Linked DNA regions of Caenorhabditis elegans. The protein of the gene in region 1 interacts with the protein of each later gene in a biochemical or structural test. Each region holds a gene or a part of one and is shown in the gene's direction. Other genes may lie near its edges.

Evidence for each region.
Region 2: of the proteins of prmt-1 (region 1) and rpl-4, one has a biochemical effect on the other in vitro, tested with the Caenorhabditis elegans proteins (one study listed by BioGRID).
Region 3: of the proteins of prmt-1 (region 1) and skn-1, one has a biochemical effect on the other in vitro, tested with the Caenorhabditis elegans proteins (one study listed by BioGRID).
Region 4: of the proteins of prmt-1 (region 1) and rps-4, one has a biochemical effect on the other in vitro, tested with the Caenorhabditis elegans proteins (one study listed by BioGRID).

What each region holds. Positions count from the first base shown.
Region 1 is NC_003283.11:20,266,877-20,271,934, reverse strand, and holds prmt-1 (Protein arginine N-methyltransferase 1), read left to right. Parts: upstream 1-2,223; 5' UTR 2,224-2,230; coding exon 2,231-2,500; intron 2,501-2,554; coding exon 2,555-3,175; intron 3,176-4,178; coding exon 4,179-4,334; 3' UTR 4,335-4,558; downstream 4,559-5,058. Other genes in the region: cdkr-3 (CDK5RAP3 protein homolog), read right to left, coding at 1-81, 1,590-1,721, 1,773-1,818; mdt-17 (Mediator of RNA polymerase II transcription subunit 17), read left to right, coding at 4,706-4,984. UniProt on the Caenorhabditis elegans protein: Arginine methyltransferase that methylates (mono and asymmetric dimethylation) the guanidino nitrogens of arginyl residues present in target proteins.
Region 2 is NC_003279.8:4,645,008-4,649,073, reverse strand, and holds rpl-4 (Large ribosomal subunit protein uL4), read left to right. Parts: upstream 1-2,110; 5' UTR 2,111-2,116; coding exon 2,117-2,288; intron 2,289-2,294; exon of another isoform or gene 2,295-2,348; intron 2,349-2,370; coding exon 2,371-2,633; intron 2,634-2,685; coding exon 2,686-2,793; intron 2,794-2,842; coding exon 2,843-3,337; 3' UTR 3,338-3,412; downstream 3,413-4,066. Other genes in the region: B0041.5 (Solute carrier family 35 member F5), read left to right, coding at 1-276, 333-634; B0041.8 (Plus3 domain-containing protein), read right to left, coding at 955-1,143, 1,193-1,461, 1,509-1,650; lmd-2 (LysM domain-containing protein), read right to left, coding at 3,449-3,721, 3,770-3,889.
Region 3 is NC_003282.8:5,657,010-5,662,281, reverse strand, and holds the start of skn-1 (Protein skinhead-1), read left to right. Parts: upstream 1-1,897; coding exon 1,898-2,026; intron 2,027-4,716; exon of another isoform or gene 4,717-4,866; intron 4,867-4,911; exon of another isoform or gene 4,912-4,964; intron 4,965-5,272. Other genes in the region: bec-1 (Beclin homolog), read left to right, coding at 1-145, 757-942. UniProt on the Caenorhabditis elegans protein: Transcription factor. Required to specify the fate of ventral blastomeres in the early embryo, and postembryonically for the development of the intestine. Directly regulates expression of zygotically expressed med-1 and med-2 to direct mesendoderm development.
Region 4 is NC_003282.8:7,082,821-7,086,600, reverse strand, and holds rps-4 (Small ribosomal subunit protein eS4), read left to right. Parts: upstream 1-1,918; 5' UTR 1,919-1,939; coding exon 1,940-2,198; intron 2,199-2,244; coding exon 2,245-2,644; intron 2,645-2,670; exon of another isoform or gene 2,671-2,729; intron 2,730-2,745; coding exon 2,746-2,866; 3' UTR 2,867-2,905; downstream 2,906-3,780. Other genes in the region: deb-1 (Vinculin), read left to right, coding at 1-124, 173-274, 328-418, 502-534, 744-913; Y43B11AR.3 (TruB_N domain-containing protein), read left to right, coding at 2,994-3,229, 3,361-3,455, 3,500-3,705, 3,754-3,780.

The sequences.
Region 1 (5,058 bases):
AGAAGCCCAGAAAGTTTTTCGTGTCTTTTTCCGTGTCGCGCAGGATTTCGATGATTTGGCAGCAGTGGAAATAGTTGATATCTGGAAAAAAAATCGAGTTTTTAGCTTAAAAACTGAATTTTTGGCAATTTTCAGGTCAAAAAAAAATAAATTGAATAAAAATCGATTTTTTGAAGATTTTTACGGCAAAAATAGCATTGTAATGCATTTTTCTAACTAAATTTGGCGAAAAATAATTTTAAAAAATGTTATTTTATCAGGTTTTTGCAGAAAAAAAGTTTGGCGCTGCTAATTCAATTTGGGGCGCTGCTAACACTACAAACTACAAGTTTTGGGCGCTGCTAATTCAATTTTGGGCGCTGCTAACACTACAAACTACAAGTTTTGGGCGCTGCTAATCCGGATTTCGAGCTGTTAATGGGAATTTTATCGAAATTTCTGCATTTTTTTCGTAAATTTCGGCACGAAAACTAAATTATAGTCGGTTTTCGCCGCAAAAATCACAATTTTATATGTTTTTCTGACTGTTTTTGGTGCAAAACTGAATTTTTGGCAATTTTTAAATTAAAAATTGAATAAAAATCGATTTTTTGAAGATTTTTACGGCAAAAATAGCATTGTAATGCATTTTCCTAACTAAATTTGGCGAAAAATAATTCAAAAAAATGTTATTTTATCAGGTTTTTGCAGAAAAAAAGTTTGGCGCTGCTAATTCAATTTTGGGCGCTGCTAACACTATAAACTACAAGTTTTGGGCGCTGCTAATCCAGATTTCGAGCTGTTAATGGGAATTTTATCGAAATTTCTGCATTTTTTTCGTAAATTTCGGCACGAAAACTAAATTATAGTCGGTTTTCACCGCAAAAATCACAATTTTATATGTTTTTCTGACTTTTTTGGGTGAAAAACTGAATTTTTGGCAATTTTTAGATTAAAAATTGAATAATTACGGCTTTTTTGACAGAAAAATTTATTATTTTTTCTATTTTAATGATTTTTCTCGCTAAATTTGGCGAAAAACGACTAAAAACTGTAATTTAATTGGATTTTTCTCAAAAAAATGGTTTGGCGCTGCTAACATTACAAACTACAAGTTTTGGGCGCTGCTAATTCAATTTTGGGCGCTGCTAAAACTACAAACTACAAGATTTGGGCGCTGCTAATTCAATTTTGGGCGCTGCTAAGACTACAAACTACAAGTTTTGGGCGCTGCTAATTCAATTTTGGGCGCTGCTAAAACTACAAACTACAAGATTTGGGCGCTGCTAATTCAATTTTGGGCGCTGCTAAAACTACAAACTACAAGATTTGGGCGCTGCTAATCCGGATTTCGAGCTGTTAATGGGACTGTTATTGAATTTTTTGCATTTTTCCGTAAATTTAAAAAGTAAAGGTAAAGGTTGTCCGTTTGGTTCAAGGGTGAGCCTAAGCCTCCTGCGGACAAGAGAGATTTTATTCGTTTTTCTGACTGTTTTTGGTGAAAAACTATTTTTTTTAATCAGATTTTTTGCAAAAAAAACTTGGTAGTCGAGCCTTTTTGTAGTTTTTTAACAATTTTTTGGTCTTTTTTGGGCAAAAAACCAACTAACACGCTCCTTGCAGCAGCTCCACGATTTTCGGCGACTCCGGCATGTCCAAAATGGCATGTTTGATCTTTTCTCGAATCGCCACCACGCTTTTTTGCCAATCTTTGTTGCAATGACGACGGGAAACCAGCCAATCTAAAGTTTTTGCGGTGTTTTTTGGGTTAAAATTAATGGATAACGAGTTACCAAGCAATTTACTGCTGTGAATATCGATTGGCAAGTCGTCTGACATGATTTTTTATCTGAAAAATTAAAATTTTAACTTAAAATTCAATTTTAAATTCAGAAATCTCCCAAAAAAAGAAGAAAATTTCGATGGAAAAATACACGTCAGCCACTGCGTAAATCGACACAAATTTAAAGGCGCATGCGGTTTCGTGTGTGTTGGGTCTCGCAACGCCCGCATTTTTAGGTGTTGATTTGAAATGAGTTTTCCTTTTTTTTTCGTCTTTTTCACTCGAATTTCATGATTTTCAGTTGATTTTCAATTGATTTTTTGGTTTTTTTTGCTGAAAATTAATTATTTTTTGATTAAAAAGCTTTTCGAACAAGAAAATACATGAATTTTGGCCCTAAAAGTGGATTTCAGAGCATGTGGATCTCACATTAATTAATTTAATAATTAACCTTTTTCCAGCGGGACAATGAGTACCGAAAACGGGAAGTCCGCAGATGCGCCGGTGGCGGCACCGGCTGCAAAAGAGTTGACCAGCAAGGACTACTACTTCGACTCGTACGCTCACTTCGGTATCCACGAGGAGATGCTCAAGGACGAGGTGCGAACCACCACCTACCGGAACTCGATCTATCATAACTCGCACTTGTTCAAAGACAAAGTTGTGATGGATGTTGGCTCGGGAACTGGAATTCTTTCCATGTTCGCCGCCAAGGCTGGAGCGAAGAAGGTTTTCGCGGTGAGTTTTTTTTGGATTTTTTGAACGGTTTTTAAAAATTTCCTTTTCCTTCAGATGGAATTCTCCAACATGGCGCTCACCTCCCGCAAAATAATCGCCGACAACAACCTGGACCACATCGTCGAGGTGATTCAGGCGAAGGTAGAGGACGTTCACGAGTTGCCAGGAGGCATTGAGAAGGTCGATATCATCATTTCCGAGTGGATGGGATACTGCTTGTTCTACGAGTCGATGCTCAACACTGTGCTCGTCGCCCGCGATAGATGGTTGGCTCCGAATGGAATGTTGTTCCCGGACAAGGCTCGTCTCTACGTCTGTGCTATCGAGGATCGTCAGTACAAGGAGGACAAGATCCACTGGTGGGATTCAGTCTACGGATTCAACATGTCCGCTATCAAGAACGTCGCGATCAAGGAGCCACTCGTCGATATCGTCGACAACGCTCAGGTCAACACCAACAATTGTCTGCTGAAGGACGTTGATTTGTACACCGTTAAAATCGAGGATCTCACGTTCAAATCGGACTTTAAGCTGAGATGCACTCGCAGCGACTATATTCAAGCTTTCGTCACCTTCTTCACCGTCGAGTTCTCCAAGTGCCACAAGAAAACCGGATTCTCGACTGGGCCAGATGTACAGTACACTCATTGGAAGCAGACCGTCTTTTATCTTAAAGTATGCGCTTAAAAATAACTTTTTTTCGGGTTAAATACCATTTTTCAACAGTTTTTCACCAAATTTAGTCAGTAAATGGTAAAAACTTCGATTTTTGGGCTGAAAATCGACCTTTTCACAGTTTTTGAAACAAAATTCGCCAAAAAATTAAGAAAACATGAATTAGCAGCCCCCAAAACTCGTAGTTTGTAGCTTAGCGGCGCCCAAAACTCGTAGTTTGTAGTTTAGCAGCGCCCAAATCTTGTAGTTTGTAGCTTAGCAGCGCCCAAAACTCGTAGTTTGTAGTCTAGCAGCGCCCACAATCGTAGTTTGTAGCTTAGCAGCGCCCAAATCTTGTAGTTTGTAGCTTAGCAGCGCCCAAAGCTCGTAGTTTGTAGCTTAGCAGCGCGCAAAACTCGTAGTTTGTAGTTTAGCAGCGCCCAAATCTTGTAGTTTGTAGCTTAGAAGCGCCCAAAACTCGTAGTTTGTAGTCTAGCAGCGCCCACAATCGTAGTTTGTAGCTTAGCAGCGCCCAAAATTAAATTAGCAGCGCCCAAATCTTGTAGTTTGTAGTCTAGCAGCGCCCAAAATCGTAGTTTGTAGCTTAGCAGCGCCCAAAACTAGTAGTTTGTAGTTTAGCAGCTCCCAAAAGCGAATTAGCAGCGCCCAAAAGCTTGTAGTTTGTAGTTTAGCAGCGCCCAAATCTTGTAATTTTGTAGTTTAGCAGCGCCCAAAACTAGTAGTTTGTAGTAGTCTTAAGTATTAAATTTGTGTTTTTTTAAAGATTTTTGCACGAATTTTGCACTTTTCTATCGATTTTTCGAGTAAAAACCGGATTTTCTGACTGAAACCGGGGTTTTTAGGCAAAAAGTTGTATTTTTCACTAATTTTCGTTAGCTAGAAAAACCCAGTTTTGTTTTAATAAAAAAGAAAAAAAATTGCAATTTTCACATCATCTTTGACTTCAAATTCGACACTTTCGATTCAAATTTTATTTTTTTTTTCAATTTTTCGATTTTTTCAGGACGCGCTCACAGTAAAGAAAGGCGAGGAAATAACCGGATCATTCGAGATGGCACCAAACAAGAACAACGAACGTGACTTGGATATCAACATTTCGTTCGATTTCAAGGGAGAAGTGTGTGATCTCAACGAGCAGAACACCTACACCATGCACTAATTTTTGCTGTTTTTTTTTTCGTCTTTTTTCTCACACTTTTTTGCCCCCAATTTTTACACTTTGTTGATCCCCCGTTGTTCCCCCCGAAACCTCCCGATTTCCGCAGATACTCGATTGTATATACCTCGATGCGGGTTGTTGTCGCGCACCTCCTCTATCCGCGCGCACGCTCACTCTGCTCGGTACTCCATTTGTTGACCTTTTTCCATAAAAAAAAATCTGCCAAAATTCAAGTTTTTTGCAATTTTTAAGCGATTTTATAATTTATAGGTTACGCAGCCTTTAGATATATTTTTAATATTCAATCAATAGTGAGCAGCGCCAAAAGAAAAACCGAAAAATTATTTTTAAAAAAGTTTAGCACAAAAAAAATGGAAGACGGCGATGAAGTGGTGGAGCCTATCGAGCCGGAATCCGAAGACATTGTGAATCTCACAAAACGACTAGGAGTGGATCTCGTGCTGGAATCCAATGATGACTGGAAAATCCAGGAAATCGGATTTGACGGTGTGGAGAGGTACCTGCAGCCCGAGACGTTCACTGATCATGTTGGAAAATTGGCTCGGAAGGTGGAATGGACGAAGCTAGTGGGCACAAAATCGCCTTATGAAAATTCGAAGGTTGATCCCGAAGATGAACTCGATGATGAGGTAGAAGCCGGCGAAAATCAAGAAAAATCGAATAATTTTCGGGAAAAAGTCAGAAAATCATCGATTTTCAGGCT
Region 2 (4,066 bases), on another chromosome or scaffold:
GTGTTCTTATCGTTTCTCATTATATTCCATCATTTCTTGGAGCACTTTTTGCTCAGATGTCTGCTCTTGCTTATGCAGTTTATCTTTTTGCATTTGGCCATTTTGAGGAAAAATATGGAAAACTGGATATTAATTTGATGTTTGGAGCAATCGGAGTCATCGCTTTGGTTCTTGGAACACCTACATTAAATTTGTTGGATAGATTTGGTGTAGAACCATTACATCCACTTCCAAATGCTACACAGTTCTCGTCAATTTTATTTTCTGCGCTCATTGGTGAGATTTATTGTATTAATGAGTATTTTTAATATTAATTTTTTTTTTAATTTCAGGAACAATTGTCGCTGATTACCTTTGGCTTCTTGCCGCTGGAATGTGTGATTCTCTCACCACCTGCCTATCAATGACTGTAAGCATTCCTCTGTCATTCCTCGCCGATACAGTGATTCGAAGCAAAGCTCCAACACTGGCACAAGTTATTGCATCGATTCCGATCCTCGTGGCATTCGTTGGCGCTGCATATGCACAAAATCCGTCAACTTCAATACGAAAAGGGCTTTCAAAACGAGTACGAAAAGTGGAATCATTATCGCCGGACAATGAACATCTTATGGATAGTCTATCGGACGAGTAGCATCTCTCTTAGAAACATTGTTTAAACTCTCTCAGAATCTCTATTTTCTCTTGTTCTACTGGTCGCTTTATAGGCATTCGAAGGTTGTGACACACTCCCCTCTGATCAACTAGTCATATTTAATTTTTTTTGCACTGTATTAAATTCGGGAAAAATAAATGTTTGAAGAAATATCGTTTTATGTTACTTTTATAAACTTGATATTTATCAGACAATTCAGATCGTTCAGTAAATCGGAAGTGAAAATTAATACAGCGTTGGCTTTTTGGTTTTGTGATCAACCCGGCATATTACTAGTAATTTAACGATTAATATTAAAATTATGCCACAAAGCGAGCTTTGGTGTCTTGTCCTGGAACATCAATGAATATTCCTCTTGCAGATGACTCAAAAATCTTGACATTCGCTTTACGCTTTCCATGTTGTTCCTGATCGAATGAATCCAATTCCGGAGTGTAACGGTTTTTGGGATAGTAGCGAGCTAGAGTGTTGTAGGCGGATTTCGGAGTCTGAAAATAAAATGATTGTTTTTAATTTCAAAATAAATTATCAACTTACCAAACTAATTTCCTTTCCAATGACCGTCCCAACTGGAAGATCAGTAAGTTTCACAGATGCCAGACAATTTGAGCGCATACACTCCAGAACCATCATACGATCGGGACGTCCTGGATCAACAACTCGAAGCATTCGGCATCCACAATGAGAGCATTGTTCTTCTGAAAACATACTGGTGTTCGAATCATCGTCCATTTTTCTTTTCGCATTTCTTCGAAATCCTGATGATTCAACTGACGATGTCGACGGTGTTGTGGAAATTATCTCACCTGAAAACTCAATTATTTAACAAAACATATTATTGTAAAACACATACCAACTGTTTCAACGTCGTTCAATTTTCTCAGCGTATCCTCATTTACACGGAAATTTTTCATCTGTGCCGCTTTCCGCAATAATTCCATTCGCTTGTAGTCGATTTTCACGAGAGGAAAGAATGTTGATGTAGAAGACAGCATCTATCCCAAACACTTATGTATTGAAACAAGTAAAAACACAATTAAACTATTTGAAAACGTTTTTAAGCAAGAAAATGGAAGGATCGGGTTTGAAATCAGCGGATACCGCGCCCTCGTAAATTGACACAAGTTGCCTGCCGACATTTCGTCTCATCGCGGCGAGACCCCGACGTTGGATACTCAGCCAATACCCTAATTTTTGCCTCCCTTTAAACACGATTTCCCTGTTTTCTGAAATTTTTTAGGAACTTTTTTCGTTTTTTCAATATAAAAAAGATTTTCGGTGATATTTTCACATTTGGAATGTATTAAAATAAGGTTTTGAATATCCTAAGCCTGTTTCGGTCGAAAAATCTGAATATTGCCTAAAATATCATCATTTTTTCTTTACTCTTCTCGCATTTTTTGAATCATTTTCTTTTAAAATTAATCTATTTTTTACTATTTCTGTTGATTGCAGGTAATAATGGCGGCCAGACCGCTCGTGACTGTGTACGATGAAAAGTACGAGGCCACTCAATCTCAAATCCGGCTCCCAGCCGTTTTCCGTACTCCAATCCGCCCAGACTTGGTGAGCTTCATCGCCGATCAGGTCCGCAGAAACAGAAGACAGGCCCATGCCGTTAACACCAAGGCCGGTAAGTGACATAATTAGATTCGGTTATTGATTATTTTAATTTCAAACTAACTTCTGTGTTCCTCAATTACTATTTATTTCAGGAAAGCAACACTCTGCTGAGTCCTGGGGAACTGGACGTGCCGTTGCCCGTATTCCACGTGTTCGCGGAGGAGGTACCCACCGTTCCGGACAGGGAGCTTTCGGAAATATGTGCCGTGGAGGACACATGTTCGCCCCACTCAAGGTGTTCCGCCGCTGGCACCGCAACGTCAACATTGCCCAGAAGAGATACGCTGTTTCCTCAGCTATTGCTGCCTCCGGAATCCCAGCTCTTCTCCAAGCTCGTGGACACGTCATCGATCAAGTAAGTAAACTTTTTTAAAAGTTTTGTTCCTATTTACAGTACTATTTTTTAGGTCGCTGAGGTCCCACTTGTTGTTTCCGACAAGGTCGAAAGCTTCCGCAAGACCAAGGAGGCCGTCGTCTTCCTCCGTCGCTCCCACTTGTGGGCTGATATCGAGAAGGTATACCATTTAAAAAAATTAAATTTGTTTTTAACGTAACAGTTTTAAGGTTTACAACTCGAAGAGAAACCGCGCCGGAAAGGGAAAGCTCCGCAACCGTCAACACAAGCAGAAGCTCGGACCAGTTGTTATCTACGGACAAGATGCTGAGTGCGCTCGTGCCTTCCGCAACATCCCAGGAGTCGATGTCATGAATGTTGAGAGACTCAACCTTCTCAAGCTCGCCCCAGGAGGACATCTCGGACGTCTTATCATCTGGACCGAGTCTGCCTTCAAGAAGCTTGATACCATCTACGGAACCACCGTTGCCAACTCTTCTCAACTCAAGAAGGGATGGTCTGTCCCACTCCCAATCATGGCCAACTCCGACTTCTCCCGCATCATCCGTTCCGAAGAGGTCGTTAAGGCTATCAGAGCTCCAAAGAAGAACCCAGTGCTTCCAAAGGTCCACCGCAACCCACTCAAGAAGAGAACCCTCTTGTACAAGTTGAACCCATATGCTTCTATCCTCCGCAAGGCTTCAAAGGCCAACGTGAAGAAATAAGTATTCTGTTGTTGATAAACTTTTTTGTTAATAACCGATTTAATTTGTTGAACGCATTGTTTAAATTTCCAGAACGATTTACTTTGACAACAGATTTATTTCAAAAATAATTTAAATATGATCATAAGCTGAGCTGCTAGGGTTATCACATTTCCGAAACGATTTGATGTTCCGATCTATGCGCTGTAAAATATCTTTCATAGATTTTTCTTCTCGGCTACTGTCGACCCGTTCAGTAGTGGCAGGCACAATTTTGCATTGAGTTTCTTGCAAAGATGGTTTGAGATTAGGTTGTTGTGAATTGAAAATGGGTATTCTAATGAATTGCTTCATGAACAAGGCGCTGGGAGACCAAAGCTTGTTTGCACGAACGAGAGATGAAACCTGAAATCGTACATGAACAACAGATAAGGAGAAACAAATGGAACCAACCGAACAATTATGCTTTAATGCTATTCTTTCAAGTGTATCATCGGTTTGAACTTGGTAAATTGTATATGAACATGGTGTAACTGGTGAAGATTGACTTTGGGTTGTGCCGTATCTTCGAACCTGTAGAATCACATTTTAAATGTGCTGTGAGGACCGATTAAGGATTTTGCTTTAAGTTATAGAAAATGATCGAATATAACTGTAAAATTATTTTTAATGAATTTTTCAATTTTGCAAAAAAACTAATGCAAAAACGAAAACTCGATAACCCGGAAGAAATCAAAATTTTAAAGAGAA
Region 3 (5,272 bases), on another chromosome or scaffold:
GTACATTAAGCTTCGTCGTAATGGCATCGACATGGAAACGTACGCATTGTATGGACAAGGAACTCCACTATCAGGATCATCTGGAATTGATCCTGGAATTCGTCGATTCTTGCAGTTGCTCGAGTTTTTGTTGAAAGAGCTCAAGGTTTGTGGGAAAATATGTTGCCGTTCGGAGTTGGTTAAAAAATTGGGAGTTTTCTTGAAATCGATCTCTGTACAGAATAAAAAAGACATATCCATCAAAAATAAGTATTGTGAATTTATTTTCGTATTACCCATTTGCAAAAGTTTATGCGATTTCTGCTTCAAAAATACAAAAATAGACAGATTTTCTGAACTTCAAAAAAATCGTGCACCTTTAAGGCCTACTGTAGTTCCCAACTCCCATTTTTCAACCGATTTACGTTAAAAAGGTATAAAACCAACCCAAATCTGAAAGAAACTAGTGAAAAAGAGTGATTTTTCCTAGTTTTCCGCCCGTTTCTACGAAATTTGGCGTGTTTTTACATGTTTTTTAATAAATTTTATTTAAATAATTGGGTGAACACTTGAGGAGTTGGGAAATACCGTAGGCCTTAAAGGCGCACGATCCCTTATGAGTTTGAGTAAATCGGGTTTTTTAAAGTATTTTTGGAGCAAAACTGTAAAATTTCACATCTCGTTAAGAATGGATTTACAATATTCATTTTCCGGTATAAAGATCGATTTTATAATTTTTTGGTTTCAGAAACACCCTAATTTTTATACATTTTTCAGGATCGAAACAAAAATTTCAAACCACCATATCAAATTCATGCTGATTCACTGGTTGACAATGGTGTCAAATACAATGCAGTTATGACACTCAACACAGATGTTCGATGGACTCGTGCAATGGCTCTAATGCTCACAGATCTCAAAGCTGCGTGTGCTCAATGCGATGCTCTCAGATCGCCTATTTAGTGATTTCACGGGATCAAATGTAGAATAACATTTTCAACGCTAGAAATTTTTTTTTCAATTTCTCAGGGACGCTTCTTTAAAAAATATTCAATTTTCATTGTGATTTCTAGTTTTTTTTTTCAAATTTTCTGCTGGAATTCTGCCTTTTCCCCAAACTTGTACCATATGTAAATATATTAAAAGTAAAGATTTTTATTGCAGTCTTGTGGAGGAAATTTTGTTATTTTTTGTTGATTGGTTTTGAAACCAATTCTGTTATCTAAAATTTGAATTTTTCCTAATTTATTTTCTCTTTCTTGTTGCTTTACTTGGTTTAATGATTATTAAAATTTTCTGAAACTGTGAAATCAAGTTCCTACCACTAAACTTATTTTAATCTGATTTTACTAATATTGCCTCAAAATTTTCGAAAAATGTATAACTGAAAATATCGAAAAATAAGGTCCAAATTTTGCTAAATTCTGGATTTTTTTAAAGCTAAAACACCGTTTTTTTTTTATTTTCGACCAAAATGTGTGGAAAATTTGAATGTTTTTTCGATTTTTCCAGTCATAAACGTTTTTGAAATTATTTAAATAAATATCACTATGAAATTCGGCACTTTTGTGCCAGATTTAGTTTTTTTTAAGCGAAAACCTCCCACAAACTATATTCCTCCTTTAATTAAATTTGAAAAAAAATACTGTAGGTTTTTGTAGACAATACAATTCCCCAAAAACGAAGTTTCTAGTTTTTTCTAGAATAGTTCTTGTAATTCCGAAAATTCCCGTTTTCTGAATTCTAGAAAAAAAATTGTTGTAACTCAAAATATTGCAGAGAAGGCCTCGTGTCGTCGTTCACGCGTTTCTCCTCCGTCGATCGGACTCTGGTCACTCAGCCGCGAGTCCGTGTCCGAATATTGTTGAGAGAAGTGTTCCACTCATTCTCACAGGATCTATCATAATCCAGTCAGTCGATGGGCGGTTCATCACGCCGTCAGCGAAGTACGTCGGCGACGAGACGAGACGATAAACGAAGACGAAGACAGTGCTTCTCTTCGGTAGCCGACGACGAAGAAGAGACGACGTCAATTTATGGAGTGTCGGTTAGTTTTTTTTTTGTTGGTTTTATCAAGTAAAAAGACCTGAAGAATATCATCATTTCACGGGAGAGCATGACTTTTCGTATCACTTTTCCAGTCAACTCTTGCAATTCTGATTCAATATTACTTGCATTTACAATTTTTGTTTTCTTCATGTTCTAAATCCAACTTTAACTAAGATTTGTAGATTTTTTCCCAAGATTTTTGGCTCAAAATTCCAGCTTTAACCTTAAACATGGCTTTTCTCTTCACGGATTACTTAATTTCTTCAGAAACAAGAAAAAAAACTAAAAGAATAACCAAGATCTGAGTGGAGCCTATTTTTAGCTTTTTTAAGCTTTTTCATCATCTACCTATATATTATTCTTGGAAGTTTCTATTAATTCGAGTAGACTAAAATAGGGAAAATACACCACAATTGAGAGTCGAGTTTTCAAAAATATGATTTTTCAAGTTCAAATTCAAACATTTTTTCTTATTTACACCCGGTTATAGATCATTTCTCAAAGACCGCGTAACATATTTACTTTGAACAGCTTTTCCTTCCCAAACTCCATATCAGACCACCTTCTCCTCTTATCACTTCAGTCACATCACTCTCGTTATCTAGGTCTCCCGCATTGTTACGTGTTAATCCCAACTATCTCATGTAGAATGTCACAGTTGCCTCGTTGTCTGAAACTATTCACGGCTCATTCTGTCTCTCTCTCTCTCTCTCTGTTGCAATAATGATGCCGGAACGACTATGTTCGTAAATGCCAGAGGACGAAGTCGAAGTCCTCTGAAAAGTAGAATTTCAAAAATTCAAGAAAACAATGGAAAGCGTGATCTTTGTATTTCAGAGCCGCTAAGAAGACCGTTCCCTTCCGAAATCCTTCTTCCGCCAGATCATCAGATTTTCAGATATTTTCCAATCTCTTCAATCTTAAACTTAGCCTAAAATATTACTGTCTGTACATTGTCCTCCATATATGTATATTATACAAACATCTTGCCGGAGTCGCTCCAAAATCGCAAACCCCCGATTGCCTATATGCCAGCTTGATAGCAGCATTACCATCCTGATAGACACCCCACGAGGCTCTTGATTTTTCGAACTTTTTCTGCTACGCCGACAGCGACTATCAACAACGGTTTTCCACCACCACGTACAATGTTTGATCAAACCGTTTGATTAAATTGACGCTCTCGGTGCAAGATGATATCATCTGGAAATGAGACGTTTAAAACCGAAAAAATGACTTGAATCATATCTGTGGTCTGATTGTGAATGGGTGCGGTTGACATGGTTAGTTGGGTTTTTGCACGCAATGGATCAAGGAATTGGTATAAGTTGAAATTCGGATCACAGCTTTCGATTTGTAAAAATTGAAAGTATGATTATTTATTGACAGAATATGAGTAGAAGCTTTCTTCTACTATATTCTAATTGAATTGCAATGTATTTGACATGCTGAACCTATTCGTTTTCACGGTTGAGGTCAAGAAATATAATTCTGAACATCACGTTCTACGAGAATTCATAAACAGCCAAATATGATGTCAAACTCACAGTACACTCAAACAGAAAGATTGAGTTCTTTGAGTTCCGACGGAACTACTATATTCTAAATTTCGCGATTTTTGATCATAATATCCTGAAATAAACAGGATATGTTCTGATTAATTGAGATTTTCAACCAAATATCAGACTATTATGCGCTTGTTTTTATTTTTGTTGTAGTAATAATAAAAATAAAAACACGTGGTTTGTAGCAGGTTTAGTATCATAATTATTTTTAGCCAAGATTTCGAAGAATTCTGATCACATATCAACAGGGAAGAAGGTGTGTGGATAATTCAATTTTCCCATGCATGTCTGACGCAGGTGGTTTGAATAATTCAGTTGTAGCTCAATTGTAGATGTATCCGATTTCCGTGTGCACCCAAACCTCTCTTTTTTAGAATATCGAAAATCTTTTCTTTTTCTCGTCAAGTGATATCTTTTGCATCTCTCATATATTTCTTATCAGTCTTGGCACAAACTTCAAACTGATATGCTTTATTTTTGAATTTTTGGTTCCTTTCCAAAAAAAAACTTGGATTTTTGGAAACGTGAAAACCAGCACGCATTTTGAAATTAGGCGTTGAGAAGAAATTAAATCAAAACAAATTTTTTATTCTCAGCAGTACCACCAAGCATTAAGTTTATTGAATAATTGTTTTAAACTGTTCTCTCGGTTTCGTGAGTTTCAGTTTCAATCGTTTTTCAAAGTATTCTGTACTAGACTTGTAACTTTTTTCGAAAAATATATCAACTTTTTGAATCAAAAATTAATGTTAAAATGTAGGAAAATGCTCGTTCGGTTTGAAAAAAAAATTTTTTTTGAAAACTTTTTAAAAGACGGCACAATTGAAAGTCTTTTTCAAACTTTTCCAACAAAAATACATATCATTTTCAGATTGAGCGAGCATTTTCCTACATTTTTATATTCATTTTTGTACGTTTGCCGAAATATTTTTCCGCACAGTCCTGCTCTGTACTACTTCTGTGTGGATTCATCAGAATTTAAGGGCAACGTGCTATGAAAAATTGCATCAACATCCACACACACATTCTCCAGATCTTCGGTTTTTCACCTCCCACCGTCTACTACCTGCCTGCAACAATTCGGTCGCACTCGCCCTCTCGCTACAACATTCACCTGCCGTTGTGTAGTCGTTTTGTAGTCGTCGTCTTTGGTGCAAGCGGCGAGCGACAATGCTGGTCTTATCAGCTTTCGTTGACTTCGTTACGGCCCCCACAGCAGCCTTCTCTTCTAGTTTTTCATTTAATTGGTCAATTTTCTGCGCACGTTAATTTACCGCGCACCAAGATTTCGGATCAAAAAGTTGCGATTTTCGATCTCCACAAGTCTGTGTCTATCTGTGTTCAGGCAAATAGACACGGCGGTCACAAAATTTTTTTACCTCTGCGTCTTCCCATTGGACATGCGCTTTCCAGCATTCTCTCGTACACCCTGCGTGTCTACAGTTTCAGCCATCTCTCCTCGTCTTGTGATCTACTCTATCGGCGCGCTCTCTCGTATTTGTCATCATTTCCATGGCGGCAAGTTAGCACAAATCGTAGAGAACTTAGAGAAATAAGGACACCGAGTGCACTGTTTCGATGGTTTTCTTTCGTTGTCTCTGGAAATCGCCTTTCTTTCTGTTTTTTGACGCCATTTTTCACTTGGTAACCTCAACACGACAACTAACTTCTTGTGTTTA
Region 4 (3,780 bases), on another chromosome or scaffold:
TTTGCACAACGAACTGAAACAATGGAGTTCACAGGAGAACGATATTGTGGCGGCTGCGAAGAGAATGGCCATTCTGATGGCTAGACTATCACAGTTGGTTAGAGGTGAAGGTGGAACTAAGAAAGTAAGTTTTGTAGAGAAGAAGATAGTGATCTTAATGTTAAATTTAAAGGATCTCATCAATTGCTCCAAGGCAATCGCAGATTCTTCTGAAGAAGTTACCAGATTGGCAGTTCAACTTGCCAGACTTTGCACAGATATCAAGATGAGAACGGTGAGCATTTAGTTCATTCTATCTAAAGATTTAAAATTTATTTTCATTTTCAGGCACTCCTTCAAGTCTCAGAAAGAATTCCAACGATAGCTACACAATTGAAGGTCTTGTCAACAGTCAAGGCGACAATGCTCGGATCAGCCAGTGAGTTGGAAATTTATTTTTTCGTTGTTGAAATTATTTTAATTATTTTCAAATTTGATTTAAATTATCAGAACCCATTTCAGATGTCATCGGCCCATACGGTCAACCAGTCGAGGGTAAATAATTGATTTTCAAGAGTTTCGGAAACTAATTGTGTGATTGAATTTGAAGTTTTTGTCCCATTTTAATACAACTTAACAATTCTCGCGTGAATTTGAAAATTGAACGACAACATAAAACATCGAGTGCCTTAACCTTCCGATTCCCTTGATTCTCCTAATATTTCCGTTTTTCTACTCTTTAAAATAATTTTCTTGAATTTCAGGCAGCGAAGAAGATGATGAAGCAATGCAACAATTGGTGCATAATGCTCAAAACTTGATGCAATCTGTGAAGGATGTTGTCCGTGCTGCTGAAGCCGCCTCTATTAAAATCCGTACCAACTCGGGACTTCGTCTCCGTTGGCTCCGAAAGCCAATGTGGTCCAACTTCTAAATCCCCGTTCATTACCGATTCTCTTTCTTCTCAATCAATGTTTTGCATATTTTATGTATTTTTCTACTGCTTTGCTAGTCATTTAAATTTTTTGCATAATAATTTTTTTTCATTCTTAATAATGTTACTTTTCAGTTTGAAATTGCTCCAAATCTTCCACTCTCCTTTCCCCATGAATCCCTCGAAAAAGTGCCTTTTGCAACAAAAATACGTCTTTTCTACTCATTTACTGTCTACTGAAACTGCCTTTCGCTGGAATTATTCTTAAAAACTCCCCATATTTCCAATTTTTTCTTTCCAGTAGTTTTATCAGTAAATGGTCGTTTAATGTTTTTCAAAAGAAAAATTATCGAATTTGTGTAGAATGTAATTTTTATTTTTCAATTTCTTTTTTTTAGTCGCCTTTGTTTCTCCTTGAAATATTGAACAATATCGATTTTTTGTGAATAAAAACATTTAAACCACTAAAAAATTTCTTGATTTTGGTCTTAAACTACGAAAATGGAACACAAAATCTGAATATACACGAACTTCTTCGATAGGATCAAGAAAAATAGAAATAACATTTTCAGCATATTAAAAATAATTTTTTATAGTTTAATTTATTAAAATTTTTCATTGAATGTACTGATAACGAAACAAAATTCATCGAAATCGTGTCGCAGCATAAATAAAATTGTTCGTTGGAGAGGAGTTCACGACAGAGAGTGCGACAGGGCACGCTTTCTTGCGTCCAAGGGACAGCCAGTTGTACAGCTGCCAGGTCTCGCAGCGAAATTGATTTTAGGCCAGACGCAAGGAAATTTTTAGAGAGATTTTTCCTATTTCTCCTGTTCTCAACGCAAAATTTTTTAATTTTTTCATATTTTAATGAAATAACGATGTTAAATATCATTTTTGAGCGATAGTTGTGCTATGTAGTTAATCTGTTCCATTTTATGCTTACTCTCACTATTTTTATCATTACATTTTCGTGATTTCTCATTTTAAAGTTCAAAATTCCAGCTTGAGGTACACACTTGAAAAATGAGAGGACCAAAGAAGCATCTTAAGCGTCTCGCTGCTCCAAGCCATTGGATGCTCGACAAACTCGGAGGAGTCTTCGCTGTTCGTCCAAACCCAGGACCACACAAGCTCCGCGAGTCCCTTCCACTCAGCTTGTTCCTCCGTAACCGTCTGAAGTACGCTCTCAACTACACCGAGGCCAAGAAGATTCTCACCCAGAGAGTTGTCCGCGTCGACGGAAAGGTCAGAACCTGCCACAAGTTCCCAACCGGATTCATGGGTAATTATAATTTGTATTCTTTCTAGTTTTGTATTCGCGTTTTCAGATGTCGTTGCCATCGAGCGTACCAACGAGTATTTCCGTATGCTCTACGATACCAAGGGAAGATACGTCGTCCACAGAATCCAAGCTGCCGAGGCCGACTTCAAGCTCTGCAAGGTCAAGTCTGTCCGCACCGTCAACAAGGGAGTTCCAGTCCTCACCACCACTGACGGACGCACCATCCGCTACCCAGACCCACATGTCAAGGTTAACGACACCATTGTTTTCAACATCAGCACCCAGAAGATCACCGACTCCGTCAAGTTCGAGCCAGGAAATTTGGCCTACGTCACTGGAGGACGTAACGTTGGTCGTGTCGGAATTATCGGACATCGTGAGCGTCTCCCAGGAGCATCTGACATCATCCACATCAAGGATTCTGCTGGACACTCCTTCGCCACTCGGTAAGTTTGCCTAAAAGGCTAAAGGAGAATGAAGGTCGGGGGCCGCGAGGGTCGTAAAAGTCCGGCTAAGGTTGGTTGCTAATTCAAATTTTTCTTTTCAGTATCTCCAACGTCTTCGTCATTGGAAAGGGAAACAAGGCTCTCGTCTCCCTCCCAACTGGAGCTGGAATCCGTCTCTCAATCGCCGAAGAGCGTGACAAGCGTATGGCCCAGAAGCACTAAACTGTTGTTTTTGTTGAAAAATAAAATTGTTAATCTAAAAAACGACTTAATCTTCAAAAGGGAAATTGTTTTAGCAAACCTATCGCTTTGAGATATGAGACTAGTCTTAAAGTTTGCATTTTTGGATATGGGTCATCTTGATATTTGGAAGTCTTTGTCCGGTGTTCTCTGTGTTTATAAGCACTCGGGAATTTCCTCCGCTGGGTTGATCAAGCTGATTACTCGTAAGATCGCCGAATCTGTCTCTGATATTGAATCTACTTCTCGAATTCAACTTCCTCTGATCTCCATCCCAGTCATCGAAGCTCATGAAAAGTCAGGCGCTCTAGTAGTCGTCGGCCGGAATGAAGTGGCTGATTACAGGTAGTCGTAATTTAAAATATATCAAAGTTAGAGCAATAACTTGATTTTGGAAAATTTAACATATTTTAGCCAAAAATTTGGTTATTCACAAGATCTGCATAAAAACGAGAAGAATGTTCTGTTATTTTCAGATATCATCCACTTGTGTCTGGCAGATCAATCAGACAAGAGGACATTCAATTGGTAGACGTACTACCGTTGGCCACAAATAGTTCTGGAGTCTGCTGTAAGGTAGAATTAATAATTTTCAAAACAAATTGATATTTTCAGTGTTCGGTGTCAATGATGGTTGTGAAAGTATTCCAGAACTCATGTCAAAGTCATGGACAAATGTGTATCGAATCGATGGAATTATAAAAAAGTCGGAAAATATAGACGTTTCGAAAATTTCAAAGCATCGAATTGAGAAAGTTTTGTCACGCTTGGAATCTGAATTTCGTAGTGCCTCATTTCGTCATGCCAATGTAGATATGGAGGTGATTATTCGAGATTCTTGTATAAATATATAAAAAAAGTTATTTAAGAGTTCAGAAGCATTTGAATTAGCTCGT